3 linked regions of the Arabidopsis thaliana genome follow. The protein of the gene in region 3 purifies or fractionates together with the protein of the main gene of each other region. This does not show direct contact. Each region holds a gene or a part of one and is shown on either strand. Other genes may lie near its edges.

The links.
Region 1: the proteins of SPDS2 (region 3) and PGI1 fractionate together in Arabidopsis thaliana (co-fractionation; one large-scale study listed by BioGRID). This does not show direct contact.
Region 2: the proteins of SPDS2 (region 3) and ALAAT2 fractionate together in Arabidopsis thaliana (co-fractionation; one large-scale study listed by BioGRID). This does not show direct contact.

What each region holds. Positions count from the first base shown.
Region 1 is NC_003075.7:12,705,178-12,716,633, forward strand, and holds PGI1 (phosphoglucose isomerase 1), read right to left. Parts: upstream 7,649-11,456; 5' UTR 7,434-7,648; coding exon 6,915-7,433; intron 6,705-6,914; coding exon 6,582-6,704; intron 6,385-6,581; coding exon 6,286-6,384; intron 6,203-6,285; coding exon 6,119-6,202; intron 5,836-6,118; coding exon 5,692-5,835; intron 5,619-5,691; coding exon 5,553-5,618; intron 5,399-5,552; coding exon 5,330-5,398; intron 5,237-5,329; coding exon 5,129-5,236; intron 4,868-5,128; coding exon 4,815-4,867; intron 4,724-4,814; coding exon 4,585-4,723; intron 4,499-4,584; coding exon 4,342-4,498; intron 4,251-4,341; coding exon 4,172-4,250; intron 4,083-4,171; coding exon 4,016-4,082; intron 3,930-4,015; coding exon 3,795-3,929; 3' UTR 3,469-3,794; downstream 1-3,468. Other genes in the region: AT4G24610 (pesticidal crystal cry8Ba protein), read right to left, coding at 1-21, 93-198, 301-388, 610-912, 996-1,114, 1,298-1,432, 1,579-1,650, 1,730-1,914 and 1 more; AT4G24630 (DHHC-type zinc finger family protein), read left to right, coding at 9,742-9,780, 10,174-10,359, 10,615-10,914, 11,104-11,337. UniProt on the Arabidopsis thaliana protein: Promotes the synthesis of starch in leaves.
Region 2 is NC_003070.9:27,229,163-27,239,948, reverse strand, and holds ALAAT2 (alanine aminotransferase 2), read right to left. Parts: upstream 6,475-10,786; 5' UTR 6,313-6,474; coding exon 6,100-6,312; intron 5,837-6,099; coding exon 5,786-5,836; intron 5,683-5,785; coding exon 5,632-5,682; intron 5,515-5,631; coding exon 5,449-5,514; intron 5,371-5,448; coding exon 5,309-5,370; intron 5,220-5,308; coding exon 5,141-5,219; intron 5,051-5,140; coding exon 4,907-5,050; intron 4,852-4,906; coding exon 4,741-4,851; intron 4,671-4,740; coding exon 4,533-4,670; intron 4,460-4,532; coding exon 4,264-4,459; intron 4,185-4,263; coding exon 4,030-4,184; intron 3,945-4,029; coding exon 3,870-3,944; intron 3,786-3,869; coding exon 3,582-3,785; intron 3,495-3,581; coding exon 3,378-3,494; 3' UTR 3,160-3,377; downstream 1-3,159. Other genes in the region: AT1G72350 (MADS-box transcription factor family protein), read left to right, coding at 2-676; AT1G72340 (NagB/RpiA/CoA transferase-like superfamily protein), read right to left, coding at 1,467-1,673, 1,744-1,985, 2,156-2,297, 2,413-2,565, 2,647-3,132; PUM23 (pumilio 23), read left to right, coding at 7,369-7,622, 7,719-8,082, 8,195-8,497, 8,617-8,787, 9,002-9,145, 9,276-9,395, 9,488-9,673, 9,789-9,937 and 2 more.
Region 3 is NC_003070.9:26,481,661-26,491,326, forward strand, and holds SPDS2 (spermidine synthase 2), read right to left. Parts: upstream 5,936-9,666; 5' UTR 5,693-5,935; coding exon 5,512-5,692; intron 5,415-5,511; coding exon 5,338-5,414; intron 5,251-5,337; coding exon 5,128-5,250; intron 4,845-5,127; coding exon 4,740-4,844; intron 4,626-4,739; coding exon 4,553-4,625; intron 4,475-4,552; coding exon 4,207-4,474; intron 4,120-4,206; coding exon 3,990-4,119; intron 3,903-3,989; coding exon 3,837-3,902; 3' UTR 3,578-3,836; downstream 1-3,577. Other genes in the region: UPL2 (ubiquitin-protein ligase 2), read right to left, coding at 7,085-7,187, 7,259-7,365, 7,471-7,610, 7,710-7,935, 8,025-8,105, 8,217-8,363, 8,446-9,553.

The sequences.
Region 1 (11,456 bases), on a different chromosome or scaffold from region 3:
CCACCAGCGAAGTTTCTCAGCCTGTATGGTTTCTTCATTAGAATCACTTGAAACGTACTAACATATAAAAAAGGCAAGTAGAAATGACTTACCGAATCTTCAGAAATATTAGCTAGTTGCACAAGTACACGCCCAAAATCCTTCCCCATTGGATCCAGGATCTCAACAATCAGATCATCTCCATGACTATCAGGAAAGCTGTTGAAATTCCATATACTTCGTCACACTTCACAATAAGGGAAAGCTACCCCAAGTAGATTTGAGAGAGTGAAAGGAAGAATTGGGAACATAGGAACATACAAAACATGGCTTTCACCAGATCCGGGTTGCATCATAATGGCGTTATCTTCAGCTAAGCTTTTCAATCTTAACTTACACGAGTATGTTTCTGAATGACAGAACCGAACGGGTCAATCAATATTATAAAAGTTATTGTACATAAGAGAGTGAGTGTAGTGTACTGGGAAACATGGAAATACAATTTCTTTCGAACTATGCCCACGCATACTGATATAAATACATATAAGTGCCATATTATCATTTTAAACTCAGATGTCAAGTTGAGTTAATTCTCCCCGAATAGGCTAGTAGTTAATAAGTTTCACATACCTTGTACAATATCATAAGATGTTGAATTATTACGTAGACTTGTGACACCGGTTTTCAGGAGACCAGAAACTTGTTTTAAGTACTGTGTACTGGCATGAACATATGCCAGACTTTGACGAGGAAGAGAAGAACCATTGGCTGGTACACGGACATGGATCTTCCTTAGAGCCCGCCATCCAGAAAATAAGCGTGTTGACATATTGGAAAAGTGAATCCGGATTTTCTCAAACTTTATCAACGATGGTTTCAAAGATGATATACTACAGCCGGTTGGACCATCCATAACTGTTTTAACACGTCGTACTGCAAAAGCAGACACATATATTTTACGACTATTGTTATATGAGGGGTAGCCAGATAGCAAATGAAACAGGACTCAAGTTTACCTTGCACCTTCATTTTGCCAATGTTTTTCTTGGGTTTTGGTGCAACTCCTTCGTGCGGAGCTTGTGAAGATCGCTTTGCCAGAAGCTCTTCCTCTGATTGCAAAAGGAGTTGCTGCAACCTGTTAGTCAGTATTAACCCAAATACAAATCTGTTATTCAGTAAATTTTTGGATGCATGTGGACGAAAAACCATCCTTCAACTTAGGTTGCATAAAGAAATAAAAAATTATACTCACGGCAATAATATAGAGAAATTTAAGAAATACATATGAAAACTAAGAAAGAGGCTATAATAAACCCACCCAAATGCTTCTCGTAGAAGAGCACACTCATTTTCCAAAAACATGGGAGCCTCCATGCAACCGGTTGACCACGCATGCAGACAAAGTCGTACACATGCATCATAGGAAACCACAGCATGCCATGGCCCACGAGAACTGTATCAGGGTTCAATAAAAAATGTTGGCAGAGTGATTAAAAAGAATCCAACTTGTATACTGAACAAAGTGAAGATAACTGAGGTTTTCTATCTGTCTATATCCAGTTTCTGAAGCAGTGAATAAACTAATTAGATCATAACTACCTTGCATGAAAAGTAGGAAGCCGAGCTGGATGTTGATCAGGTGGCCCAGATGACTCAGAAGCTGCACTAGGTCTATAGGAACAGAAGCAAAAACTGAAATTAGTTTACCAAATTGAGAACTCAATTCATTTAAGAGCTAAAAATAGAATACCTAGTAAAGTGGCCAGTCTTTCTACTTTCTACACAATCTCCTGTTTTGACTTCTGAAACTTGAACGCTTGAAGTTGCTGGTTTAATTTCTTCAGATTCCTCTGCTGCCCCGGAAAATGGAGGGGCACTGGGAATATCGCTTACTTCTTCAGAAGAAAACGTCTCATCAAACTCCTGCAATATGAACTGGAGTTTTTATAAGATCAATAAAGAAACAAATCCTGTAGACATCCTAGTCGTTCCACCATGTTACAAGGGAAAGTACAAAAAACAGAAAAGCAGCTCTTTTCTGGATTTACATAGAGACCTAGATCATCAGCTAAAGCACAAGCTCCTGATCATATTTGGACATTGTTATGACTAGATGATCACAAAATCCAAATCTTCAGACCACAATAAAAACAGATGAGAACAAAACGCGATTGCATATCTTTCCATATCTGTCAATTTTATTGGTCATCCTAGCTCTACGAACGCCTAAAATCATCCATCACACTAAATTGTTTCTAAGATCTCTGATCTTAACACAAAAGGTTAAGGTTAAAACCTTCTCGACAGTTGCTCGCCTGTCCGTCTTAGGGAAGTGAGTTTGTTCCACCTGAGATACGCCGTCGTTAATCCTCCCAGCTGCCGGCGGCGGAGAAAATTGCGTGCTAGAAGCTGAATCGGTGGATTCATCTTCCTCCGTATCACCATCAAATCTAGGTCCCGTCTGTTCGCGCGCACCGACCAAAGTCTCTCTTGATGAGCTCACCTCGGAGTAAGTATAATAAGAAGAATTTCTCCCGTAGCTGCGACCAACGGCACTGGACACTCTACTGTTCTCGGGAGACGAATCGAGAGAGACATCCTCGGAATTTGTACTCATATCGTCATCGGAAGTGACGTCAGTATCAGCCACTAGGGTTCTGGTGACCGGAATAGGAGCTGAGGGTGACACGCGGTCTTCACGGACCTTGAGAGCAGGTAATCTCAATTCTCCGTTGGGGATCATTGTGAAATGCGAAGTTGAAATCGAAGCACAGTGTGAGTAAAAGGAGGTGGAGGAAGTTGCTAAAATTGAGCTAATGAAGTCTTTCTCTAGAAGAGATTTTTGAAGAACTCAGAGAAACCTTCACAGATCGAGCTAGATTTTGCAATGGAGGAGACGACGAAAGCTTAATCAGAAAGCTTTCTCACAGAGAGAGAGGGAGAGAGACGATTGATATCTGTGCACTTCAAAATGATTTTTCTTTGTTTTTTTTGATATTTTTGCTTTTTGTTAGTATTTACTTTTGATTTTGAAAAAATTGGGAATTCAAATTTGGGAAAGGGTAGAGAGGAAAAGCAATCGAGTTGGTAAGACCTCCCCAAAGCGGTGTCGTTTAGTACGCTCACCAGCTTGATAGGAGCTATGGCATAACGGGTAGTGATGACATGGGAAAGCGATTCAACATCTTGGTTTTGAAAATTGATAAAAGGGATTGTAACGTTATAATTTTTTTGTTGTTATGGTAGGCTACTAAATAGGTGGTGGTGGGGACAATCGACTCGACTTATGTCTTGTTTTCTTACGGTGGATCTACCATTTTCTTTTGTCAACATATTCCATTCGAATTTCAAAAGTGGCAAGTGAAAAGTTATTATGGAAAATTAAATATTTAGAGTTATCTTGGTTAGATCTGAATGGGGTTTTCTAAGAAAATTCAGAAGTGAATTTAATTGAAGAAACTATAGTTGATACAATCTAACCACATGGGAGGAAGTTGTTGAGCATCTCTAACCTGCTGATTAGCTTAAGCTTTTGTTTGTTTATGCAACAAAAGAACACCTAACCAAAAAACAAGCAGAAGAGTGTTGAGATCATTGTTTCACATGAGCCTGCTTGATTGATGAATCTATCTCCAATGTTATCATTACAATCAACATTTGTAACATTCTGAAATTATCTTTATTTCAAAACAAGTACACAAGTGTTTCCTGGCTCTTATTGCAATCTTTTTCTTTTTCAAAATCATAGACATGGCAGAAAGAAATAAGGAATGGAGAGAATGAGAGTTTGGAGTTTGAGAAAGTGTTGGGTTTTGTTATGCGTACAGGTCATCCACATTGCACTCGCCCAAATACACTTTGATACTTCGTGGCGATCCACAGTTTCCTTCTGCTATCAGAACTCTGTCGTTTGCAGACATGTGCGCTATGATCTTGTATATCATTTCTATCTGCATATTCAAAGATAAAAACTTCTTGATACGTGCGTTCGAAAAGTTACCAATGAAAAAACAAGTTTCAAGGATTTGGACGTTACTTCCTCAGGAGCATGACAACGATCAGCTATCTCTTCCAGTGTCAATGGCTCTACCGGATCTTTACAACTGCAGCCACAGAAAGAAGTATATAAGTGGTCTCTCATGAGTCGAGACAAGATTTTTTGACAAAGAAGCGGACTCGGTCTGATTCTTACGTGGCTTCATTAAGAACTGACAATACCCGCTTTTGCAGGGCGAGAACTTCTGCTGCTGCCTTTTTCCCAGCTTCCACACCTGAAATCGTTTTTTATTCAGATTCAGTAAACAAATATCAATTAGGCAATTACAGAACATCGGTTTCTAGATATGGGAGGAATATCTCTACCGGGTTGGTGGTAAGCATTTATGTTCACAATTGAGGCATATAAACCAACAGCTCTTTCATAAAGAGCTATAATAGCCCCAACAGATGTTGGTGTCACTTCCTGGATTGTAACACTGATGGATTCTCTACCGTTTGCATATAAAGCAGATCTAGTTCCCTGGACAAATTCACCATATATAGTGTTACTAAAGAGTGTATATTATCTCTGACTAATTTGTGCGAAACGAGATTCATAAATCAGACCTGTAGCATCCCAAAGAGATAGTCTCCACAAGTGACACCTGGCTCAAGCTCCCAATCGTGACCAGGGGGTCTGTCCCGTAACACTTCTATGAAGGTTGCAAAGAAATTGTGCACACCATCTCTCAGCTGTTGAATGTAGCTAATGAAATAAACAAATTAAATACTGTTAAAAAGCTCCTTATTTGCTATGCTCTCTCAATAGTAAAACTATATGAATAAATGAAACTCACGCGTGCTGATCTGTGCTTCCCTTATTTCCATACACAGTTAACCCTTGATTAACCTGCAAATTCAAAGAACCGGTCCTTGGGATCACACTCGTAATAACAGGGTCGAGGAAACAGTACACAAGTTTCAATTCTTCCATGAAGGAGTGGTAACAAACTGAACTCAATCATGTGCACAAGTAATTAAGTAACCAAGGTCTTCTGATTTATAAGAGTGGGCATTAATTGCAAGACCAATTTACACCTTCTCAGTTCTCAGTAAATGCTCATGAACTTTGATTTGGGGTACTGCAGAGAAAATTGAAGAGTATGCTTACAGTGTTACCGTCAAGATCAAACTCCTTTCCTAGTGATTCCATGACCAGCTGCTGCAGATACCGACTAAATAGCAATAAGCTATCCTTGTAAGGAAGGACAACCATATCCTGTAAAAGAAAGCAAGAATAGAGTAATAAGGTCAATAAGAACTCAATCTCCTTGATAGCCTTAGAACTCTCAAAAAAGTTGAGGAAAAACACCTTGGAACCAACGCCATTGGAAGCCCAGTACCAACACATAGCTAAGAGCGCTGCAGGGTTATTCTTGATCTGAAAGAAGAAAGAAATTTACAGGCTAGAGTGAGTCATGGTAGAGACTATCTAAAGTGTATGAGTCAGGAAACCCAACCGTATGATATGACATTCTACTAAAACCTGGTAAGTAAACTCATCTTCAACACAAGCTGCAATAAGTACTACTTACCGAAGTTGTCCTAGTAGCCTCATCCATTAAAGCAGCACCAGTAAGCATCTCCCTAACATTAATCCCCTATATGATGACAATGCTTTCGTGTAAATAACAAAGAATGGTCATAGAAAGTTTACGCTTATGTACAAATTACCTGTAGTGCTGCTGGAAGCAGACCAACTGCAGACATTATTGATGTTCTTCCACCCACCCAGTCGTACATAGGAAATCTAGCTAGCCAACCTTCAATTCTTGCCGTATTATCCAGTAATGAGTTCTCTTGGGTTATTGCAACACCCTGCATAAGCATACAGCGCGAAATTGCTGCTGAGGAACTACAGTGGGGCAGAAGTTGAAGCTAAATTATATCCAATACATCTGAAGGTGTCTACTGTCTAATGATCCATGAGAAGCCAGTTTTTTTTTTTTGTTGTTGTTAATGAGATGAAAAATTAGTCCACTTTTCTCAGATTATTTCCAACCGTGTAAACCAGTTTGACCATTATCATACAGCATTCTTCCCATGTTCGTAGAGACATGGATTTCAGCAAAAAGCGGAAACAAAAACCTGAGATTAACACCTGTTTTGCGAAATTCAGACCAGCTTCACGGAATGCTTTCTGCACTTCCAGTAGTCCATTTCTAGTTTCAGGAGTACCTCCACTCTGGGAAATACGTAAGAAACTTAATCATGCTCGCCAATATCAGGACCAACCATCATATAAACACAACTGAATATAGGACACACCTTTGAGATGACAACTACTAAAGTCGAGGCCAGCTCTGGCCCAAGTTGTGCAATCTGATGATCAATTCCAGCAGGGTCGGTGTTGTCAATGAATCTTATCTGTCAACAACCAAAGGAAGAACATAAAGTCAGAAAACAGTAGACAACAAAGTAGACTCTTTTAATCAGAAAAACCTAAGAGAGGACATCCTTTTACGAGGCAAAGATAAAGAACACCCATTTGTTAGTGGGGATGGCTAAGAGTGTTAAGAGCAAGGGAATGTAATGTTGACTGCAATTAGAACAGTATGCGATACCTTCAATGGAGGATTATCAGGAGCCAAGGCCTCAGCGACAAATTGAGGTCCAAGAGCCGAGCCTCCAATGCCAACAGAAAGTATCTGAGTAAAACGACCCTCAGGAGAAGATGGTGGCTTTATCTGCAACATACAAACAAAATTGAGTGGGAGTAACAAACAAACAAGATTCAAAAAGGTGAGCTAAGTAAGACTCTGCATACAACTATCTTTCCAGCATCAGAAATTTCCAAACAACACTCAAAAGGTGATCTAAGTAAGACACTCTGCATAAAACTATCTTTTCCATTACGATCATAATGCCAAACAAGGCCGGTGGGATCAAAAACTGACCTTTCCAGAGATTATGTCGTCGGAGAAAGCGCAAATAGAATCAAGTGTGTTCTCGATCAAGGTCTTTAAAGTAGGCTTAGGTGCGAGCTTAGAGTTCCTAAGCCAGTAATGTCCAACCATTCTTCCTTCATCAGGATTCGCTATAGACCCTTTTTCAAGATCCTCCATAGCCTTAAACGCAGCTTGAAACCTTGGCTCCATTTCAGCCACAAACTCATCGGTAAATCCGACCCGACTAATATCCAGATACAACCCAAGCTCTTTCTGCTGATAAAACCAATCGAGGTATCGCTTCCACAACGCATCCGGATCCTTAAGAAGCTCTTTCTTCGAATCCGCATGAGAAATGTCGCGTGCCACAGAACGAGCCGAGGAGAGAGTCAACGGTAGATTGGTGGGTTTGGAGGTATGTGGGAAAGAGAAGGAATCTCGAGATTGCGCCGGCAATGCTTTAAAGGAATGGTTTTTGGCAGGTTTGAGAGATGGAGAAGAAGAGTATAGGCCTGAGAGAGAGGCCATCTTTAGAGACAGCGATGTTTACGAGGGAAGAGAGACAGTCAACAATGGAGAGAGAGAGATAGAAAGAGAAAGGGTGGAGCTTTATATTGGAGGATTCGTATAGTTTATTCCGATTTGATTGATATTTTTTGGGAGGAACCAATGAACAGAGATGAGTGCGGGAGAGAGATTTGTCCTTTGGTGGGAGCGAGCGGCCCTGCTTAGATTAGGTAGGCTTCACAAAGCTTTTATCACTCTTATTACGACTATGTATATATATTATTGTCTCAATTGGCATCATATTCTATTTTATTTCACGTGGCCCGCCATTTTCAGATGTTTTGTTTTCTATTCAGAATAACTACCACTCTTTTGAGCTGAAGAACATAAACTAGCACTTCCAACCGTATATGCTATAAAATGAATGGTAATGTGGTTTTAAACAATTTGTATGTGTTTTGGATGAAATTATGCGTATGTTAAAATGTTGATTGGGAGTAGGGTTGTTCTTCAAAGAACTTCGAGTTTACAAGCTTTCGAAAAAAAGATTCGACATCTAAAGGACAAACGAGACTACCATTCTTGGTGATCTAAAGAGTAATATCCATGGAGTATGCTGATTTAGTCGGGTTGCTTTATGTGTTCAACATATGCTAGATGCGTGGATGTCGATTGTTGAGCGTTGTCGCATAGCTTTTGATGATAAAGATAACTTTTGTGCTTATTGACATTTCTATAGTTCTCCCTAATCTACATGATAGATCTCAATAAATTGTTAAAAAAAAAAAAAAAAAGAATTTTGAAAGAAATGTGATATATCATATAGATTAGGGAGATCTATAGAAATGATACGATGGTAGCTTTTCGAATATTTTTATGTCGCCGAGACATTTTAAGGGTTTGACTGGATAACTTAGTTAACGCAAACAAAAAGATAAAAATGTAATTACGTCGGATCCTGTTAAAGTTTCTACTAATCATGATGAAAAATAGAGATTATATTCCTTTCATTTTACGTGCAAAACCTAGAAAAATAAGTAAATAATTACGCTAAAATTAAAAACAATTCAGCTGCTTTTTGTTTATTGTTTCCACCCATTTACATATAAACTAGGTTTTAACTCGCGGTTTACCGCGGGCAATCAATTTATTTGGTTCTTATACTAAATATTTGAATAAATTTGATATCTTAAACTTATAAATATAAATTTCTAGTGATTAGTGAAGAATCGTAATAAATGGTTTGGATATTATTGATTATTGATTTCGTGATTGAATATACTGTTTTTAGAGATGAAATGTGATTATATTTTGATTTCAAAAACGACATAGATTCCTTATTTTTGTTGAACGGTTTAGATTGAAAGAAATTAATTTTATTAAACGGTTTAGATTGAATCGGATCATATAAAGTTTAGGAGATTGTTAAGACCAAATTAGCCTTAATAATTTTGAATAGCAAAGAATAAAATCCAAAATTGAAATCAAAATTGAGGCCAAATTAGAAAAAAATTCAATTTGTACTTCCCTTTTAATAATAAAGGGATTTATGTTTGCAAGGTATACATGTCATCATCTTTAAATAATCGAGAATTCGTTTGTAAAATTTTAACATTAAATGGAATTTTCCTCATCTCTACAATTTATTTTTAAATTACAAACTTTCAAAGTTTTATTAAGTGTCTATTCAAACATGTCAAATTCTTGGCTCATTGAGAAGGAACAGGTTCAAACAATTCAATAGAATTAGTCAAAACCAGTTGATTTGCGATCATAATCAATTGTAATTGATAGTCAATTGAAAGACAAAATGGACAATGACTCAAATAAATGGTATTTGGTTGTTTTCCTACAAAAAAATAATGTATCCCAAAAACAAAAAAATCACCAACTGAAATTGTATAGTTTGCACGAGGAATGAAATCTGACACAAAATGCGCAGAAAAATTGAGGACACTAATTGTAATTTGTGGTTTAGGAGATAAACATGATTACGTCATAATTTAAAACAAGAGAAAGGCAGACAAAAACGTTTAAACATAAAAAAATAAAAATAAAAAAAAAACTCAGGTTATTCGCTCGTTCGTCTTCGTCGCCCATTGAAGGAGGTCAGACCAGAAGTCGCACGCGAGCCTTATAATTGTGTAATCCTTAGGGTTTTGCTCGCGATTTCTGGTACTATTAGGTTTCCGTCGATTTCTTCGTCGGGATAAAAACCCTCTTCTTCGCCGGAGGGAGAACACGGCGAGAATTACACAGCTATCCTTCGAATTCCGTCGCTGGTTAGCTTAGGACTTTCTGATTCTGTCGCTTTAATCTTCTTCTCTCCATGACACAACGGGTATTCCAAGTCTGGAAAGGAAGCAATGTAAGTCCTTTTTTCATCGAATGATTGAGCCTGGAATTTTATTGGTTTTTTGTGTGTTTTCTCTTTGTTGGGAGATGAATATTCTCTGAATTCTGTTCTCTGGTATGAATATGATTTGGAATTCGTTTTTTCTCGAGTTTCACCTGTGTAGCATAATCTTAGTTACGCAATTGGTTTACTTTGGTACGTGTAAACTAATGTTGTTGAGCTGAATCGTTGAAGTATCTCTTGATTCACTCTCAAAGCATGACCATGCATTTTTGCATAACCTTGTATCAAGTTGAATGTTCCTTGTAATTTATTAACAATTGGAAGTATCTTCAATGCTTGACTCTTCACATGTTTTAAATTCAGTATGGTGATACCAATAAATGGTCCCTCTCTCTTTTGCAGAAATTCATCCTGGGTGGGAGATTGATATTTGGACCAGATGCTAGGTCACTGCCTCTTACCTTGCTATTGATCATAGTTCCGGTTGTTTTGTTCTGTGTATTTGTAGCAAGGCACCTTCGCCATGAGTTCTCTCCCTACAATGCGGGATATGCTATCATGGTGGTAGCAATTCTTTTCACTATTTATGTAAGTCTTCTCCGATACCCAATCTGATAGTCCTATATATCTCATTGTTGTAAATATTTGATTTCTGATTTTATGTTTGTTTCCTGTTTGCTTACTGCCTAATCGGGTAATCAACAACATTTATCAGCTATTTCATTGTTTGTTTCTTACCCGGCTTAGAAGCTTAAACCCTGTCCTCCTGTTCTGTCACTTGTTGTGTGGCATTCAGGCGTTGTTATTTTTTGCTTTTCTGAATCACGAATTTGGGTTTGATAGGTATTGATCCTCCTCTTCTTCACATCTGCACGAGATCCTGGTATTGTTCCTCGAAATTCGCATCCACCAGAGGAAGACCTACGTTATGAGACAACTGTATCAGCTGATGGAAGACAAACACCGAGTGTTCAAATTCCCAGGACGAAAGAAGTCATTGTTAATGGCGTTTCTGTTAGAGTGAAATACTGTGATACATGCATGCTTTACAGGCCTCCTCGCTGCTCTCATTGCTCCATATGCAACAACTGTGTTGAGCGCTTTGATCATCATTGCCCATGGGTGGGACAATGCATTGGACTGGTAAGCTCAATCAAAAGCATATTGACTTTGAAAAATATAAAGTTCGTAAATTTTTATCTCCCAAAAAAGTGTGAGGTTTCTGTTTCTGTTATCTGAAAGGCCAAGATCTGTTTTATCTGCCGATTGGCCAATCTGTTGTCTGCCATTTTGTCCTGTGATTCTGACTGGGAAAGTTCTGTCCATTGGCAGAGAAACTATAGGTATTTCTTTATGTTTGTTTCTTCGTCAACACTTCTCTGCATCTATATTTTCTCGATGTCGGCGGTATACATCAAGATTCTGATGGATCATCAACAAGCAACTGTGTGGAGGGCAATGAAAGAATCACCTTGGGCTGTTGTGTTGATGATATATTGCTTTATTGCCCTGTGGTTTGTTGGAGGGCTCACAGCGTTTCACTTGTACCTCATAAGTACAAACCAGGTCAGTTGGTCTCTATTGTTTTAAAATTCTGTTTTCTACTTGTTATCCCTGTTATTACCTTCCCGTATATACATATTAATATTGTATGCAAATTGTAAGTCAACTGATAGCAACACCGT
Region 2 (10,786 bases), 750 kb from region 3:
TATGGAGGATGGGGAAGCTTCAACAATCACTTTCTTACCAACCACGGAACCAAAACCCCTACAAAACCCTAACTTGCTGGCCAAACCAAAAAAAGAGACTAAACAAAAAAAACCTAAAACCACCAAAGGTCGACAGAAGATAGAGATCAAGGAGATCATGCTGGAGACCCGAAGGCAAGTGACGTTTTCCAAACGACGATCCGGGCTTTTCAAAAAAGCGGCAGAATTAAGCGTTCTCTGCGGCGCACAGATTGGTATCATAACGTTTTCACGTTGCGATAGGATCTACTCGTTTGGTAACGTGAACTCACTCATCGATAAATACTTGCGTAAGGCTCCGGTGATGCTGAGGTCACATCCCGGTGGTAACGTGGCAAACGGAGAGGAAGATAACGACGGTTTGATGTGGTGGGAGAGAGCGGTGGAGAGTGTGCCGGAGGAGCATATGGAAGAGTACAAGAATGCCTTGAGTGTGTTAAGGGAGAATTTGTTGACGAGGATCTACCAGATGAGTGGTGATCGGACGGTTGAGAATCTTCCGGCATTTCCAAATGAGATGGCTATGGCTGACTGGAAATTAACGAATGAAAATCTGATGGCTAGGAACGATCGAGGTTATGGAGGTAACAATGGTGATTTGGAGTTTGCGTTTATGCCTCAAAACGGTAGACAGTGAGGTGTTTTTTCTTTAATTTATTATTACAGTTTGGTGTTATTACATATAGATTATAGGTTGATCTAAACTATTTTTTTAATTCGTTTACCTAAATTAACTAATGCTTTCAAGTTTAAGATTGAAAAAAAAAAATTGTATTCCGAAATTGAAATTCATATTTCCCTTTTCTTAACTGTGGAGTTAGCTTATTAATAATACTGGTTTTATTTTATGAGCTTGTGTTTTTGTCTTTCTTGTTTATTTTCTTGAAACTGTTAGGATATTTTCTCCAACAGTTTCTTTTTATATAAAAATGATGTAATATTTTCCCCAACCATTGGCTACACTTGAGGAGGTTAGCTTGTCTACGAATTGTCAATGGTCGTAATAATGAGGGCTTGAGGATCGGAATCTGGTCATGGTGATGTTGATCCTTTAGAGGTTCTTATTAGAACTATATTCCACACACAATTCGAAATCAAATCATGTCACAAAAATTGGAACCACGAGGACTGAGGATTAGGTATGTTGTACATGTTTATAGTCTCTAGGCAAAAGAGTAATAAATGGCTACTTCAATAGATAAGATTGTTTAAAGTTAACGGTGTTGATACCAGGATCGGAAACTGGTTACCGGAGAACTGGGCCAACTGGCGGAAACTGATCTAAATCGGAAGACGAAGCAGAAAAACTACCTCAATATTTAAGATAAAAACATGAACTTTGAAGATCTTAAAAGGCTCAAAATTGGAAGTTTTCACTTCTGAAGCAAAAGTAGTATAAATAGTTAGTTATTAATTAGGAGTTGAAATTAGAGATAGAGTTGAATAAGCTCATCGCTAACTACAGAGGGAGAGAGAACACCAAGGTCAGTGAAGAGGAGTGTTAGGTACTGAGGCGGAGTATAGTCTCGAGCTGACCTCTCTACTTCCACCTTTGTCGGAATCTTTACACCAAATTCGATTGGTCTCAACGCCGGTGCCATGTCCTTTTGGTCTAATGGGTAAAGCCTAGCGAACTGCAAATACACAACTTTGTATCATTAACCACTCTCTTACTATGGGATCTTATAAAACCGTTTCAATTACCTTGTAACTCTCAGCAGCAACATAGACCGGTTTGTTCATGCTGTGTGCCACAAGTGCGATTTGGTATGTTCCCATCATGTTGATAATACCGCCACTTTCTACAACTCCATCCGCCCCGACAAACACCATGTCTACCTCGTCCATACTATACGCCACAGCTGAATCAAGCAGTAGTTTCACTGGGATATCGAGCTTCGATAGCTCACTCGATAACAGAACTCCTGTTCCATCCGGCCTCCCCTCTATCATTTTTTCACCAAAAAAAGTTAGCGAGAGGCTACTAATACAACAAAATCATAAAGAGACAGGGTTTATAAGGTCAAGACTATGCAACAAAAATGTCTCAGAGAAACCAAGAAACATTAAGCGGATACAACTCAAGTTCCAATCTAAGCTTGTTGTTTAAGCGAACCTGTGCAGAGAACTCGAAAGAGCTTGTTGTTTTGTGCAGCAGTCTTAAGTATTTCCAGAACAACTCTAGAGAGTCCATGAACCAATATGGTACAACCATCGAATATAAAATCTTGACTAAGCATTGCGATAATCCTACGAGCCTGCGCAATAACCAAACCTTTATAAACCCTCTTCTATCAAATACTAATTGATCTACTTCATTGATATATGTACAAAAACTACTAAATATGAGCCAGAAGCCATAAAAGGAAGTACCTTGCAAGATATTTCCCCAAATTTCTCAGCACGTTCAAGAAGACGAGACTTAGCTGAATTGAAATCTTCATATTCCAAAGCAGACGTTCTCGTAACGTATCTGATAAACAAATCGCATCCAGCTGTCAAAGAGATCGACGTTTTGTCCCACGACTGCCAAAATTTGAACATTTCTTAAATCAACAAAGCCCACAAAATCGAAGAATGAACAGAAAGTGAAAAATGAATTCTCACCTTGAGTGTATCAGAAGCCTTTTTGAGCTCAATTTCAAGCTCCATCATGGTGCTCGCTTCGCTCGCACGAATAACAGCAGCCAAAGCTCGTATAGCCGCGACGGCTTCAGCCAGATCCGGTTGTTTTCTCCAGTTATTGAACTCTTCAATTACATTAAACGACTTCTCGTTCCCGAGATCAGTTACGGATAAGTCATGCTGGGCATCGCCTGAGACGCCGCCAACGGCGGCTTGAGCTTGGGCTAGCCAGTCGCTTGTAATGACACCGTGATGCGCCGCGCGAGTTTGGTAATAAGCGGAGATGGAATCAGGGTTTTGAAAAGGACCTCGTGTTGTATCCGCCATTGGAGGTGAATTCGAGCTTCGTCGCTCGTCGAGAATAAACGACGGTGATCTTCTCCACATTGATTTTTTTTTTTCTTGAGAAAATTCTTCAAAATGGAAAAATTGAAGATAATATACTGTCGCTTTCTCCAGAAATATCATATGAAAAATAAATATAAGGCCCATTAATAATATAAGGCCCATTTATAAGCCCAATAAATTTACTAATTTTCATATCTTCATATGACATGCCATGGAATGGAAGTACAAAATATTCTAAAATTAAATTAGCTGATCACAATTGCCTGATCAAATTCAAAACACAAGTTTTCTTTTTTTTAATAACTCAAACTGATCACACTTTTCTTCAAAAGGGTCTTTAAGTTCATCTTCATGGTCAGGTCCTTTTAGTTGCGGAACTCGTCCATGAAGCTCTTGTGGAACTCTGTCAGACGATTCACTATCGCTGGAATCTTGTCTTCTTGTGGAAGTATTGTGCATCTAAAGTGCCATGTTCCAGGAACCTAAACCACAATGAATCCAAAACCCATTATTCAAGTTCGATCCTTTTGTAAGACATTTAAAGTTATGAAGATTTGGTTATATTTTACCTGTCCAAAGCCAGAACCAGGGACTACAACTACACCAGTAGCATTGAGAAGGCGTTTGCAGTAGAACGCATCTGGTGCAGTTTTTTCAGCCTCAGCAGCTTCGATAGCCTTTTGAGGAAGGTTAATTCGCGGGAAGAGATACATTGCTCCTTCGGCTCTGTTACATGTAACACCTTCTAAACTGTTGAGAGCGTCTTCCAAAGTCTGCAAGTTCATTTTCAAGCTTGTGACATTATATACAAAGAGACTGAAAAATGTCGTTAGAGGGTATTGTAATCTTCGACTAACCTTTGCACGTTTAGCCATGGATGAGAGAATTCCATCTCTTTCTGCCATGTATGAGTCATATGAGTCATCACCAGGCTGATCAAATACAATATTAGACTTTTTAGTCATAATCTGTTGCAAGAACTTAGCGAAAACCGATTAGAGAGAACTAGGGTGTTACCTTGGGTGGGCTCATGACAAGGCTAGCAAGAATTTGACCAGAGATGTTAGAACAAAGATTCACAGAAGCCATTTTGTATATCTGTTCTCTTACATCAGAAGTGAATCCAGTAACCTCCATGTAACCTCCTCTTTTTCCACATTCTCCATAATATCCTATCAACAGAAGAATATTAAAAACAAAAACCCCATTTTTTAGATGACAAGCATTGGACAGTAAAAGTTGTTCTTTTACCTTTGGAGACTGATTGGAACGAGACTAACGAGATATCTTTTTCTCCATAGCCCAAAGACCGAGCCACTTTCTTGAAAGAATGGAACTTTTTGTCAGGGACGTAAACATTTTCTTGGTAGACTTCATCAGCTAAAAGAACCAAACCCTCTTGCTTGCAGAAATTAACAATGTCACGCTGGTTTTCTTCCGCAAGAACCTAACCAGAATAAGAACGCAAGATTAGAAGAATGTTACATTTTGTTAGGCTAGTCTTGAAAATCTGTTTGTACCTGCCCAGTTGGGTTACCGGGGTTTATGACAACCAAGGCCCTTACAGAGATGCCCTTGGACCTAGCTTCCTCTAGTTGCTTCTTAAGGTCAGATATTTCCAGTCCCCATCCTGTTGCTTCATCAAGATAGTACGGAACCTAAGAAGTACAAATTTCAAAAACTTGTACCAAAAAACAACATTACTCCATGATGATTATATGAACATACCAAAGATCCACCATGAAGGGCAATTGAAGCCGAGTACAATGGATACTGAGGAATCGGGGAAAGAATACCATCTTTCTCTGAGCTCAAGAGAAGTTGCATCATCATGTGAACCTATAGAGTAAAAAACACCAAAAACACTTAGCATGAATCCTTTAAAAGAACTTACTCTAACTCTATGAGATAACGTTTTCGTTTTGATTGTTACCGCTGGACTTGCACCATCAGTCAAGAAAATATCATTTGGATCAGCAGGGAAACCATCACGTGCTTCGATTCCAGCTGCAATTACATCACGTAAACCCTTGATACCCTGAGGCAGAACAAAAAATGAAACATTCAGCAACATAAGAACCATCTCAAGAAAGGGTTTAGGACTTTTAACTAGACTCTAATAACAAACCTGGCTATGACTGTAAGCCCCAGTTGCTCTTCCGGGAATATGGTCCAAAATCCTCCATGCTCGGTCAATTGAATCGGTACTGATAGCAGAGTAGAAATCAAATGTTAAGCAATCTTAAACCGTGAGCATACATGTCCTAAAGCTGAAATATAGCAAGGAAAACCTCACCTGAACAAACCATGGGTTTCAGACTCATCCAAAAGACTTGCGTGGTCACACAATGCGAGAACCTGAGGCATATAGATGATAGACGTTATATCTCTGTGGCTGATATGACAACCAAACTAGTACCAAAAACATTCACTTACCTCACGGAAGAACTTTATAGGCAGCTGACCAAGAGATTGAGGATTCCCAATGTTGCAATAGATTATCTGCCAAAAGTAATGAAGAATTCTAAGTTCCTTGCACAAAGAGTTTGAGAACAGGTAACATCAACACTAAACTAATCATAAATCCGTCAAAACTGCCGATAAAGAAAGAGATTTTACCTCATCAAAGGGATAAGCATCCTTATTAGTCTTCAAGTCTTCTTGTAACTTCTGTAAGATGGAAGCAAAAAGCAAACAAAAATCAATTAGCATTAAAAACAATTTTACAGATTTTGTTCTTGGTTTTACAAGACAAAGCACATGCATCTCTGACCTGAGCAATGTTGACAATTTCTCCTCGAACAGCATACTCACATTTCAGAACCTGTTCCCCGGAAAAGAAAAAAAACTCTTAGTTAACAATAAAACCAACTTCTCTGTAATATAAAGTACAAAGAAGTTATGCAAAGCTTGTCGATTTCATCGTTGGGAATCACAACGAGAAGCAAAGGATAAACCTTTGGCGTTAAATCAGACAACCACAGTAAAAAATTGAAACTTTTTTACTAAATTAGAAACAAATCCAGATCAACCCTGAAACCCACAATTCAAAAACGCAATAAACCAGCTAGAGAATTAGAAACCGACCTTGGGATTGATGGAGTCAAGAGTAACGGGAAGAGAAGAAGTGGAATCAGAAGCAGACATCTCCGAAGTAGAAGAGAAGAAACGAGACAGAGCAGGAGGAGAAGAAGCAAGGGGACGAGGTTGAGGAGAGAGAAAGCTTGGACTTTTGTGGTGATGTTGACGACGAGAATGGTCGACGAGACCTTTAGCTTGGTTAATCAAGAATCTCCGCATCTGTGAATCAGCTTTATACTAGGAACGTGCTCTTTAAGCCCTAGGATTGAAAATTCTCTCACGAGGAAACAAGGGTCCCAATATCCAGTGCCTTGCACACCGAATTTTGCCTTGTCCTCCACGCTCAGAAATTGCTTTTTCGTTTTTTCTTTTCGAAAATCTAATTGATGAAGATATTTGTAGGGGTTTTTTTTAGGCGGCTAATTTTGTTGATTTATCTGTTAAACACACGACTAATCCCAAAAAAAGACATGTCTTTTATCAAAAAAAGATGTCTGAAGTCTATCTTCCGTTGACTTAATTATCCAAAAGGACCAAAATTGAATAATCCAATCACAGTCGTAATCTAATTTGGGGATAAATAGATACTTATAAAACCTACAGCTAATTTGAAAGTTATAAATTTTTAGAAATCTCTAAATTTAAATAAATCACAACAACATGTAGCAGCACATTGCTAACGATGAGGTTTTTTTTGGGCTACATAATTGGGCCCTAAAAAGGTCGGTAAAATCGTGATTTAAAGCCCATTATTTGTTTATATCCACGTCAACAAAACGATATCGTATTAGGTTGGACGAGAATAAAACCCTAGGAATTAGAAAATTTGTACAACGTCAAAACATCGAAGATTTTGATCCAACGTATACCAAGAGTTTCGGAGACGACGTCGTTTTGTCTCTGCGCCGCGTTCTTAGTCTGAGCTCACGCTTGTTCGTTTCTCCTCTAACGTCAACTGTGTTTTTGCATCCTCAAAGGTTTGTGATACACCTTATTGTTTCTGTTCTTTTGTACAAGCTTCACATGGATTAGTGTAAAGTCTTAGAATTGGGACTCGGAATTTATTGTTATGTTTTAGGTTATTCAACCCAGTTATGGTATCGTTTTGAAGTAGAGGTAGAAACCCTAATTTTTGGGGTCTGTAAATTTGGAGAAAAAATTGAACCTTTCCCTTTTTTGTTATATTGTGTAATTTGGGACTAATAGTTCTTCGAAGCTGAGTTTTTTTGTGTGTAAATTTTGTAGGGTTTAACATAGTTGGGGCTAGGAATTTTCATGGTTTCTGTTGGTTCTAAATCATTGCCATCTAGGAGGCACAGGACCATTGAGGAAGATAGCTTGATGGGTGAACGAGGAAAGTCTAGTAACAATCACAGTGAAAGGAATAAGGGAATGCGTAGGAAGGACCATAAGGGTAACCGTGGATTTGATGTAGATAGCAGCAAGAAGAACCAATCCGGTGGTGCCCCCAATGTAAAGCCAGCATCAAAGAAACACTCCGAATTCGAACATCAGAATCAATTTGTCAGGTAAAGGAGATTTTTAACCAAGGGCCTTTGCTCTAATTTATAGTCGAAATTTTGTTGTTGTGAGAAGTGGTAGTGATTTGGGTGTATCTTTTTCAGGAAAGAGATTGATCCAGAGACTTCAAAGTATTTCTCTGAGATTGCCAATCTCTTTGATAGTAATGAAGTTGAATTAGAGGAACGTTCAGTAATATGTGGAAATGCCCTTGAAGAAACAAGAGGGAGGGAGTATGAAATTGCTACAGACTATATCATAAGTCATGTCTTGCAAACTCTACTTGAGGGATGTGAACTTGACCAACTCTGCAGTTTCATACGAAATTCTGCTAGTGTGTTCCCAGCCATTGCAATGGATAGATCTGGTTCTCATGTCGCAGAGTCTGCTCTCAAATCCTTGGCCACACATCTAGAAAATCCAGACGCCTATTCTGTTATTGAGGAGGCTTTGCATTCTATATGCAAGGTACTTTATACAATTTTTACTGGCTTTGACAATCATATTAAGGTATCCAGATTATTGCTTCTAGTCTAGTAATTGACCTCAATTTTGATGGTGAAATATTTCCCCTGGTCAGGTGATTGTGGATAATCCTCTTGATATGATGTGCAACTGCTATGGTTCGCATGTACTACGAAGGCTTCTTTGTCTTTGCAAAGGAGTCTCTTTAGATTCCCCTGAGCTTTATGGCGCAAAATCATCAAAAGCTCTGGCCAAACGTTTGAATCTGAAGATGTCTCAGCTAGATGACAATAATTTAGAAATCCCTCATCAAGGGTTTCCAGGTATGCTCACGTACCTTTTATCTGGGCTATTAAGTTGTAGCAGAGAGGACATGAAGTATCTTCAAGTCGATCAGTATAGCAGTTTGGTCTTACAGGTAGGTTTTATGTCCCTGTCTAATCGTTTATGTCATTTTCAAGCAATTTCTTTAGTATTGACTGTTATTTAGTCTCTCTCCCTGATTCACGGTGATTCTAACTAATCTTCTCTTGACAGACGGCTCTCAGACTAATGCTGAAACAAGATGAGCAGTTGCTTGAAATCATTCCGCTTATTCTGCGCTGCAACTCTACTAATAAAAAAGTAGAAGGGTTTCATATAGAGACTAATGTTGCCAAAGAAATTTTAGAGTCGATGAAGGATAATTCATTCAGTCATCTGGTGGAGGTAACTGAGTCTAACCTCTGGCTGCTCTGACTGAGTTGTTTATACCAAGATTCTGTACCTTGCATAAAACAATTGATGATGGACGTATTGCCTGCTTTAGACCATGCAAAATATTATCTATAAGGATTGCTAGTTCTCTGTTTGATTCCATGCTGTAATTGGAGTGTTAATTTTCTTAGTCATCTCTTTAAATGCGTTTGCATGCCATTTTCAGGTTATTTTGGAAGTGGCCCCTGAAAGTTTGTATAACGAAATGTTCAACAAAGTTTTCAAGAATTCTTTATTTGAGCTTTCAGTTGATCGGTGTGCAAATTTTGTTATTCAAGCATTAATCTCCCATGCAAGAGACCAAGAGCAGGTATCTTTATCATACACTTCATCTTTTTCTGTGACATCAAAATTTCATTCCAGGTCTTCTTAACTTCGAATTTATTTGTGCTATTTCCGTGAAGCCAGTAAACTTACGTTCAATTGATTTTGTTTACAAGATGGGTATTATGTGGGAAGAATTAGCTCCAAGATTCAAGGATCTTCTTGAGCAAGGGAAGTCAGGTGTTGTGGCTTCTCTGATAGCAGTTAGCCAAAGGCTTCAAAGTCATGAAAATAAGGTTTCTATGTTTTCTAAATTTAGATGAAAATTTATTTCTTTTCTAGTTTCAAAATTGTGTTCTTATACAGCTGATTTTTACTGATTTGACAGTGTTGTGAGGCCCTTGTTGGTGCAGTATGCTCCACAAATGAATCCCGTATCTCCATTCTTCCACGGTTGCTGTTTCTTGATTACTACTTTGGTTGTCGAGATAAGTCTACATGGGAGTGGGCACCTGGTGCAAAGATGCATGTCATGGGTTGTTTGATACTTCAGGGGATTTTTAAGTTTTCTAGTGTATGTTTCCTTCTCTTCTTGTGTTGACAAAAATAGCTTCAGTGCTTTTAACTTCCAAATTTTTGGCTTTTCATGTGCATTCACAGTAACTCCCAACTTTTTCTCAATTTCACAGGATCATATACAGCCATACATAACAAGCTTAACTTCTATGAAAGCTGAGTATATCACTGAAACGGCAAAAGATTCCAGTGGAGCACGTGTCATCGAGGCCTTTCTTGCCTCAGATGCTGCTACAAAACAGAAACGTAGACTAATTATAAAGTATGCACTGCTTCTTGATTTTATATGGGGATATGTTTATCTCAAGACCGATAGATTCCACAGTAGCTTGTTTATATGATTTCCTTCATTCTGTTTTTTCTTCATTCAGTCTCTTAGGCTGCTTGTCAGTTTTTTTTTTCAAGCAATTCTTCATATTTTGATGATGTTTCTTTTCACCAATGATTTCGTCACAGATTACGTGGACATTTTGGCGAGCTCTCATTACACACGTCTGGTTCATTTACAGTTGAGAAGTGCTTCGATGCATGTAATTTGACACTAAGGGAAGCCATAGCATCTGAACTGTTGGATGTGAAAGTTGATCTCTCGAAAACAAAGCAAGGGCCTTATCTGCTTAGGAAACTTGATATCGATGGGTAAGATCTTATTCACAAACTTACCTTGCTTTGTTTGACGGAAGCTGTAACACATCAGAAAGACTGGTATCACTAACATATTCGTCCTGTGAGATGGAAAAAAAGAGTAAAATTTCTTAGAGAAAAAGTCTAGGAGATTAAGTGACCATAGTGCCACTGAAAGGTGGCATAACTGTAGCATTGATGGCATGCATGTATTCTCTTGCATCTTTTACCTCCTTATTCATGATTTGATATGATATGGAATCATTTATTTGTTGCAGTTATGCCAGCAGACCTGATCAGTGGAAATCAAGACAAGAAGCTAAGCAATCAACATATAACGAATTTTGCTCTGCATTTGGGTCCAACAAATCAAATTTTCCAAAGAACACCTTTGTCTCTGACGCATCTGAGGATGCAGCTCAGGAAATAGAAGTAAAGAATACAAGGAAAGAGATTGACCATCATCCTACTTCCGGGTTTAAGCGTC
Region 3 (9,666 bases):
AGAGTTTACTGAAACAGATTAGGTCTGAGATTAGTCAACTAAATCTTCAGATGCTAAGAATTTTCTTAATTTTAGTAATTACTATTTAATACAATATTTTTTTGTAATTATGAGGAAAGTTAAAATGTCAAAGTGAGAGTGAAAAAGGAAATGAAAAGTGTGGCTTTTGATAAGTGGGATGTTGATTCATATAATTCAAGCTTTCTATAAAGTGATTATCAAAATACTATACTAATTATGTTCATATTTGAAGACAAATTCTAAAGCTAGAGAAAAGATGAAGGACTGTAATTATATTTGCCTATTTGGCTATATTTAGTCAAAGCAATCTTTACCTTTGTTTTTCTTTACCTTTTTTTATATCCCCATCTTTATTCATTTACTTGCATTATATTGTTTGAATTTAATGTAACTAAATTGTTTAAGATATGTGGTTTAAAGTGATACTAAAATAAACTTAATATTTGGCATCTATGTTTTAAAAGGAAAACAATATGGTTAAGGAAAACAAAAGCGAAAGTACATAATCTACATATTTAAACAAGGTAATTCGAATGTAAAAATAAAAAATGCAGTAAAATCTGGAGATTTTATGATTACTGAAAAATTTTGAGTTCAAGCTATTAGAGTTCGACAAATGTTTTTTGATTCACTTTTCAAAAATAAAGTGATTTACGATATCATAAAGATTGAAAATTGAAAATTTTGTCCTTTGATCGAAGTCAAAGTTTTCAACATCCATGATTCAAAAAAAAAATCTTTCTTAAATGCTTCAAATATTGGTTTATGTTTTCAATGGTTCAAAAATTGTTGGCGACTTGTTTTAACAATTAAACTTATTTTCTTCTGATTGCTCCATTCAAAACAAAAGCAATTGAGCGAATGAAAAAGCATGAAACTTTTGAGTTAACATTCAAGCTACCTAATCTCAACAACTATAATTTTTGTTTAGTTTATCTTATGACATTTCTTTAAATGAGAAATGTAAACCCTTGACCAAATTTTAAAAACAAATGTAAGTCTCACTTATTTAATATACCAAGTTACTAATATTTATGCTCCACGGCATTTATTCGTTTCTTAGCACGAGTTGGTTTTAAATATGAACTTAATACAATAAGTTATCGAAAATGTAATATTATATTTACCAAACATATATTATAGGATTATCCAAAACACCCATGCGTTTCTATTTCTAGCAGCCATCCTTATTTTATTTTATCAATAATATATCTATTTGCTTTTAGCTTCGATGGTGGAATCTATAACAGAATAATTCCTCTTGGTGACCACTTTTTTGGGTAATGGGTATTACTCCATTTAAGAAATATATAAATGAAAAAAATATGGCCATTTGAGGTTTTATGTGGAGAGGGTGATCGAAAGGCCGACACATATATGATGTTATGGGTCCTCTCTTATTTGATCATTTACATTTGTTCCATTTTCGTGTAACGAAAACTGCCAAAATTAAGCTGACGGCATTTATATGCGGCACAATTATGCGTCTACATAGAGCTCCACATATTCGTGGATAATTTAAAGTTTTCTAGAGAGTTTCATCAAAAGTAAAGAAAAACGTCTACAAAATATCATCAAAACTTACTAAGAGAGATGATTGATCCACGCGTGCATGATTATTACGATCATGACAGAAACCGATAAGCGTTTATGACGATTCCGGTTTTCCACAAACCGGTTTCCACGTGGTTCATCTCTGGACACATTCTGATGCAACTGGAACCGCGGTTAATATGGCGTGCGATATTGGACATACACGTGTGCAAAGAACGTGAAGTGCTCTTCAGTTTCTGCAGAATCACAAACAATAATTGTCAATGATTCGATTCTTTCTTATCTCCTCATAGGTCGTATCTGAAGACACCAAAACGGTCCATATGTATGAATTTGTAAATAATCTATATGGTTGAAAAATAGTTAAAAATAGAGTTAGTAATCATTTTAATAGAGTTTTTCGTAATATCGGATGTGATTCATAATGTTGAGACCTGGTCCATGTAGAAAAATTAGAAATATGTTCGATTCTTGAATAAAATAGTACAAAAAAAAAACAAATATAATGGACAAACTATTGGAAGATTGTTCAAATTACAAGAGAGTTTCCTACTTTTGTTAGGTAATGGTTCTTTTGTCGCTGCATCCCCGAGTTTGCGTCATTACAGAATATTACGAATGTGATTACGTTAACATCTACTACTATTTTGCTATTTAATTAGTTAGATATTGACTTTACTTAGCTACCGATGGCGTCATTGTTTGTTGTGGAACTCTATCTTTTTCAACTTAGTTTTGTCTTTATTAATTTTTATACGTTTTACTAGTTACTATTCTGCGATAACCAGAATTATTTCCTTTTTTTTTGTTTTTTTTTGAATACTTAATGCTAGCACGAGTCATTAGACCCTAAAAGGCTAAAACATTTTATCAACATTCCTTTGAATTTTCATTTTAGAAGACGTGGGAAGCATTTAAAGCCACAAAAATGATCACACATCTAATAATAATGCTTCAAATAATATAATATTGCAATCCTCGAAGCCGACAAATCTTATGATGTAATTACATCCAAGAACAATATTTCGGATCAATACTCATTAGTCATTAGCATCATGTCAACAAGACATCTTCTCCATTTTATTTGAAAGGTAAAATTGGTTTTATTTTTTATTTTGTTTTAAAAAAAAATAAAAAAAATCTATTAACCAATTGTTTCAAATATTATAAAATATATATGATAAACTATCTTCTCAACATATAATATGCTATAAAATCAACACATACGTTATACGTAATAGTTCAAAGTCTTTGATACTATAGCATAAATATTTCAGTTTAGTTTAAAATATATACAATTTAAATCATAAAATTGGTTTAACTATTTTAAAATTAAATGGGCATGAATCAACCATCTACTGTACATAAGCACTACTCATCGGTATCTTTTGCTACTTTCTTTTCTACATATAATATAAATGTAACCTAACAAATCATATACTATAGTTAGTTTTTTCTTCGTCTTAAGAACATGTACAAGGTCTTTAACTAAAAAAAAGGAACATGTACAAGGTTATATGCTGGTTAAAGTTGCAAGTGGCAATCCAACTACTTCAAGAAGGACCTATTAAGTGGTATTATTAGGAATTGAGAGCGACAGAAAATTAAACATAATTGATGACGATCAAGTAAAATTATCATTAGATTTAAAAGTCATAAATTAGGTAATGTTTGTAATATTGTGATGTCATGATAGATGTGAACCCATACACACGTGAATAACGATGGTCAACCTCTTGTTATAATTATAACGTCAACGTCGACAATACCAGTGAACACGTATACAAGTTCTGTTGGACAAACCAACTGTTTTGGACGGCTGATGATGTAAGCCCAAAACATTTAATTTTTATTAAGGCCCATAAAACAGTTTTGCCTCTCCATTTTTTCTATTTTTGGTCCAAATCACACCTATTAAAATATTTGTTTTATTTGCCCTTATTTTTATAATTTAGAGGAAACATGTCAAAATGATAAAAAATTAGTCTACAAATTTTTGGGTTTTAAATCATATTATGTGATCACATTAAATCGAAAGTTAGTCAATTATAGATGCATAACGTTAAAAAAAGGATATGAAATATGTGTAATGCTTATAAAAAGAGATTGATAGCTCAGTGCAGTCACATAACATTGCAGGTGAAAGAACATTACATTCTAAAAATTAAAACTTCTTTATTTTTTTCCAAAGGATCATTGTATCATCATATTATCACTTCCACATGAAGTTTCTCTAAAGCAAATGATTTCTCTTCTCTTTTCTAGTTGGCTTTCGAATCAATCACCTTCTTAGCAAAAGAGGGCAAGCAGAAAGCAGCTGAGTGAATCTGCAACACAAAAAGATTCAATCACAATTCTTAACAATGATTCACACATTTCGAAAATGATTGTTACACTAACTACTTTTTATGTACCTCAGCGTTGTAATACTTCAAGGGACAGTGTGATTTGATAGAGCTTTCATCAGTATCGATTAGACTCACTGGCTTCTTGAAATCGACTTGTGGTCCTTCAGATGAACAAAGCATGAATCCAATGACTCCACTGCAAATGAATCACATACAAACTCAGACGTTTGAGATCAATGCAAACAAAAAAAGCATAAATGTTTTCAAGATCAATTTCAAAGACCTCGGGTAAGTTGGAACACTGGTCCAAGCGTAGTTAACAGATCCTTTAAAGATGTCACGGCAATTAGAAACAATGTCTTCAATGATATCCATGTGAAGCCACAAGCTTTCAGCTTGTGTGCACACAACTCCACCAGGACGAAGAGCTCTATTCACTGACTCAAAGAAAGGTTTCTCAAATAGCTCTTTTGCTGGACCGATTGGATCAGATGAATCAACAATAACTGCATCATAGGTTCCTTCAGCAGCGTTCTTCAAGAAAGCAACACCTACAAAAAAATGGCCACAACATTGTTTATAAAAACTGATCTCAAAAGAGAGAGATGAAAGCAGAGAGCATTGTGTACCATCGCCAATGATGAGGTTGACACGAGGATCCTCGTATCCAACTGCTACATTAGGGAAATACTGCTTAGCCACCTGAAGAAAGATCCCATAAGGTGGAAGAAAACATATTAAACTTAAGTAAAGGTTCATCACAATGCACTTGCAAGATGCATAATAATAAATGAAAGAAATCTGACAAGTACTCACATCAACCACCATTTTATCTATTTCACAAATGTCAATCTGCTCAACAGAACTATGACGTGCCACTTCCCTCAGGACTCCTCCATCTCCTCCTCCAATCACCAGTACCTGAAGAAGAAACATTTCCATAAGAAACCCACTTGGTTACTTTACAGTTATACCATCCAATAGCAAGAGGGAAAAGACTCAAAACACTTCAATTATAGACCTTTCTCAAACACAAACTCAAAACTAAAACTCCCTTAAAGGATCATCCTTTTGATGTATTTCTAGCTCAAACAAGTTATATGGTCATAACTGATAGACAATTCACCTTCTTTCTTGCAGTTTTCCATTTGAAAGCAAGAGACTTTGATTATCTAGAGATTAAGATTGTTGATAAAGGATTTACCTTTTTGGGGTTGGAGATAGAGCACAAAGGAAGATGAGTGATCATTTCTTGATACGCACATTCATCTCTCTCAGTGAGTTGAATCACTCCATCCAAAACCAAAACCTTTCCATATGTTGCAGACTAACAAAATACACCAAAGTTGACAACTTTATATAAAAGTGAACCAAACTTAGAGAGACAGACTAACCAAGAAACTGTCCTTATTACCTGGAAAACAATAACATCCTGGTAATCTGATTTCCCTTGGAATAGAATCTTCTCTACCTTGAGAGAATGTGCTTCTCCTACAAACTCAGATAGAGATATTCAAAATCAGCTTCACAGAGAATTAACATGAGGAATTAGACGGACCTCAATTGGGGAAAACAGAGGAATCTATACCTGGCCACATAGGACTAATCTCAGAGAACCATCCAGGAATAATAGAGGACATACAAGAAGGCTCCTTTATCTCTCCTCCACCGTTCTCTGTTTCCATGGCGCCGCCGTTATTGTCCTCCTCTGCTTCTCTAGGTCTCTTCACGGGCAAATCAGTAACAGACGCTTCTTGTGTTGAAGACATGGATTGAAGAAGAGAGACAGTGAGTAAGAGATTAGGGTTTTAGTGTCTCTCTCTCTCTGTGGCTTTGTTCTCTTGTTGACTATGATATCATATAAGAGGAGGGGCCAACAAATATCTGCCGTACGATTCGACTGTTATAAAATCATTTTCTTTTTGTTATTACGTGAATAAGGCAATTTTCATTATTTTGTGATGATGAATATCAATCATGACAGCTCTTTTTTTTTTGGTTGCTTTTTAAAGCCGATCCAATGCATTGTTTCATTTTGATAAACGTCCCAATTAAATACTTTTATCGTTTAAATTTTAACTTTAATTTTTAGATTCTGTTATTGACCCCAAAAAAAAAAAAAAAAAACTGTTTAGTGTATACGTTTTTATTTTATCTTAGAAGACTACATGTATCAACAAAAGAGTATTGAATATTTCCAAAAGTTGATTGATTATTATTAATATGAGTGTGTTTTGCGATTCTTTAAACTCGTTATGAACAAGCGCTCTCACACTTGTAGATTTTGTGTGTCAAGTGTGTCAACTTGTGAAGCACCTATTTTCGATAGATGTTAATTCACGTTTTGGTTGATGGAGGAGAAATGTTTTCTTATCATTATTGCATTATAATTTGAATTCTGTTATTGCATATAGATGTTTTTTAAGAAAATTTGAAGGTGTGTTAACTTGTGAAGCATCATTTTTTTTTTTTGATAAGAGGCAAAAGAGTATTTATGTTAGCTAATGTTTATTTTACAAACTATCAAAGCTTATACCAGCAATACTTGTTGGCTGGAGACAAATGTGGAACGTCAAGGACAAGGCGAGTAAGCAATAATGGATGAAAATGATGATGAACGTGGAGGACAAAGATCAAGACCCTGTGTGGGATTTTCGGAGAGATGCCATGCACACACTCTGATTCTTCATTTGCTGAATAGGCAGGTGGTGAAGGTAATGGAGTTTGGAGTGGAGTCTCCCATGTTTATCCTCCTCGGAACACACTTGGTATGCTCAACAACCTCTTCTAGATGTTATGAGACTTGCTTCTGGAGACAGTTGAGATATTAAGACAATGGGCTTGCAAACTTGTGATAACAAACTGGCCTTCGTATGTTGGTTGAGGAATATGCCAATACGCGTGACAGAAAGGAAGTATTCAAAATAATGACCAGCAGTTATGTAATTTTCTCATCTTATAAAAATGGATAGCAAATATCAACTACTAATATTTGAGAGTTTGCAACTATTTTTAACAAAATCTAAGGAAATAGAGAGAAAGCCTAAAAAAAAAACAATGGACTAATATACTAACATAATATATGGACAGACAAAAATAGCCACTTGCGTTTTCTATTTCTTGCTCTTAATCAAAAGCTCTTCCTTCTTCTTAAGCTTTGTTCAAGCAAACCCAAAACCTTCATTGGCTTCGTGAATTGCAAGAAGCAGGCGTTCCTGAACTTGTTCCTTAGATTGATACTCAGGGAGGTCTAGTTGGTTAAAACTGCAACAGAACCAATGAAAATTACGACCACGTTTAACTGAAAAAAAAAAGACTTTGTAATAATGTCTAACCATGTATGAGCTGATGGCAGCCGCTCCGGAGATCCATATGCTTTGTGGATTTGTAATCTTTGAGGGCCAGAAATACCTTGCAGTGCCTTGAAGCCTTCCAAGGGAACCTGAAAACAGAAACACCGCTTGTAAAACAACCAGAAGAAAAACTAGTACATATCAGAAAATGAAGCTCAAGCGACTTGGACAGAAGCTGCAAATATTGGTTTTACCTTTGATGTTCCAGTGACAAATTGAAGAAATCTAGCCATATCTTCTTTGCTGAAAGCTTTGACAACCTCCCAGAACCAACGAATAACAGGGGACCCTACCGTGTAGCTGGTATACTCGGTATTTGCTTTTAGATCATCAACTAAAAAACAAAAGAAAACAGATAACAAGATTGTTATTATAACTTTAAATGAATAAGCAAATAGATGCAAAAATATTGAAAAATAGAATGCCAACTTACAATCAATCTCAGGCAACCCGCTGATTAGGAGCTCAAGCTCTTTATCATTGAAAATTGATACAAGCTCACGAGGTATCAACTCATTTAAGCCTTCTAGGAAAGCGTTGATTTGAGGGCGTATAGCACTGGTAAGTATGTGGTCGGCCACAAGGTCAACATATTCATGTTTTGTTTCTTCTGTTACCCGTATGTTTCGTCCTCCAGGTTTAAGTTCATAGTCCGTCACCTTTTCATCAAAGATAAAATGATCAATTCAATATACTAGGCAATTTGGGATAAAGCACAACAAAAGAAAGAACATCAATCACCACACACCTCAGTCTTCTCGTAAAGAATGTGTTTTTCCTCATCTGCGTCCATACTAAATGTGAGGTCGAGTATGTCGCTCACATCATTCTGAATAAACAGAAAAGGGGACAAATATATAAGGCTCAAACAGCACAGGACCTGACTTCTATTTTTGAGCTATGTAATAGATAAAGGTAAATAAAGGCTAGGTCCTCAAACCTCTAATAGCCACTTCAAATTCTTGTAGTAATCAGGATCCACCGCCTCAATGTCATGATAAGTCACCTTCACACCAAGTATGTGTTTATAGAAAGAACGGGTGAAATAGACATCCAAAAGCTGCCCATCAAACAACGCCTTTGCCACCTGCAGTGACATCACAAACACATCAGAGAGAGCAAAAAACGATCAATCAGATCATTGCATTGACAAGGTCCTGATATATTACCATGCGACCAACAAATTTGAAGTATGATAGATGCTCAGTTTGGTAAACAGAATTGGGATTCGGTTGGAAGGTGGCATCATTTCCAACGGTAGTGAAGAGCAACGCTCCTTTGTCAAATATAACTCTTGACAATAACTGATACCATTCTCGGGTCAGGCCACCAGCATCAATACCTTCCTCACCTTGAAACTGCACATTCAGACGTCCCTTCAGATCCTGTGGGGAGCGCATACGTAACTGGTTGTATGAATCTTCCAACACATAAGCTCGGCGGACACTAATACGTAATGGCCCAGAAATATGTTGATCATGTTGGTGCCTTATTCTTGACCTGAAGTACGCTTTCTTGTTGTCAAAATCAATCAGCCTTGGTGCCTTGAGCATCATTGAAAAAGACTTCTCCAGCAAACTTGGATTTTGCCTAACAAATGAATTTAAAAGCCGCCTGTGCTTCTCCACAAACTTTGAAAATGTAACAGAACCATCAATTTTCTTCTGAGAATCTACAATGGTTTTCGATGAAGAACCATGAGTAGACGACTCCTTTACTTCTCCCGCTGTCACAGTTGCATCCTGCTGTAACATTGACGGAGTTTGAATCTTCTCACAGAGAACAAAGAAAGCCTCAATAAGAGGCAGGAGACTCTGAGTTCCTGGAGAGAGAGATGACGTAGGAGAGATCCCTAGAACATGATCTCCAGGATTGACATTTGATGTAGCTGCAGTATGATCGAGCTGCAACTCAGTCATGCTGATACACTGGCCAAGTTCCTGCCACAAGGGCTCTAATGCCACCTTTAGTCCCTGCATAATGTTTTGTTCCTCCTGATCTGTTTCTTTGTCGGTTCCCACATTGCTATCATCAATAGTGGAAGTTAGGGAGCTAAGCACTTGCAGAACACGGAGAATTGAAGCACCTGCCATGGAACATGTATTCTGACTCATCTTCTGTGTAGTGCTTAGTGTTGCCAGCACACGGACAGTTGAGGAACTCAAACCACTCGCCAACTCTGAGAGTTCTTTTGTAAAAAACTTGCGATGAGTAACATCTACGGCAGCCAACTTTTTCAGTACCTCTCCCGCTAACGAGTAAATTTTATCCGATAACCTATTACGGTAATAAAACATGTGAGTTCGTCTTAAGCAATTCAAGGAAATAATTGAGACCAAGGAAAAGAAAAGATCTATGTTGTGTAGACTACTACATATAAAAAGAAAGTC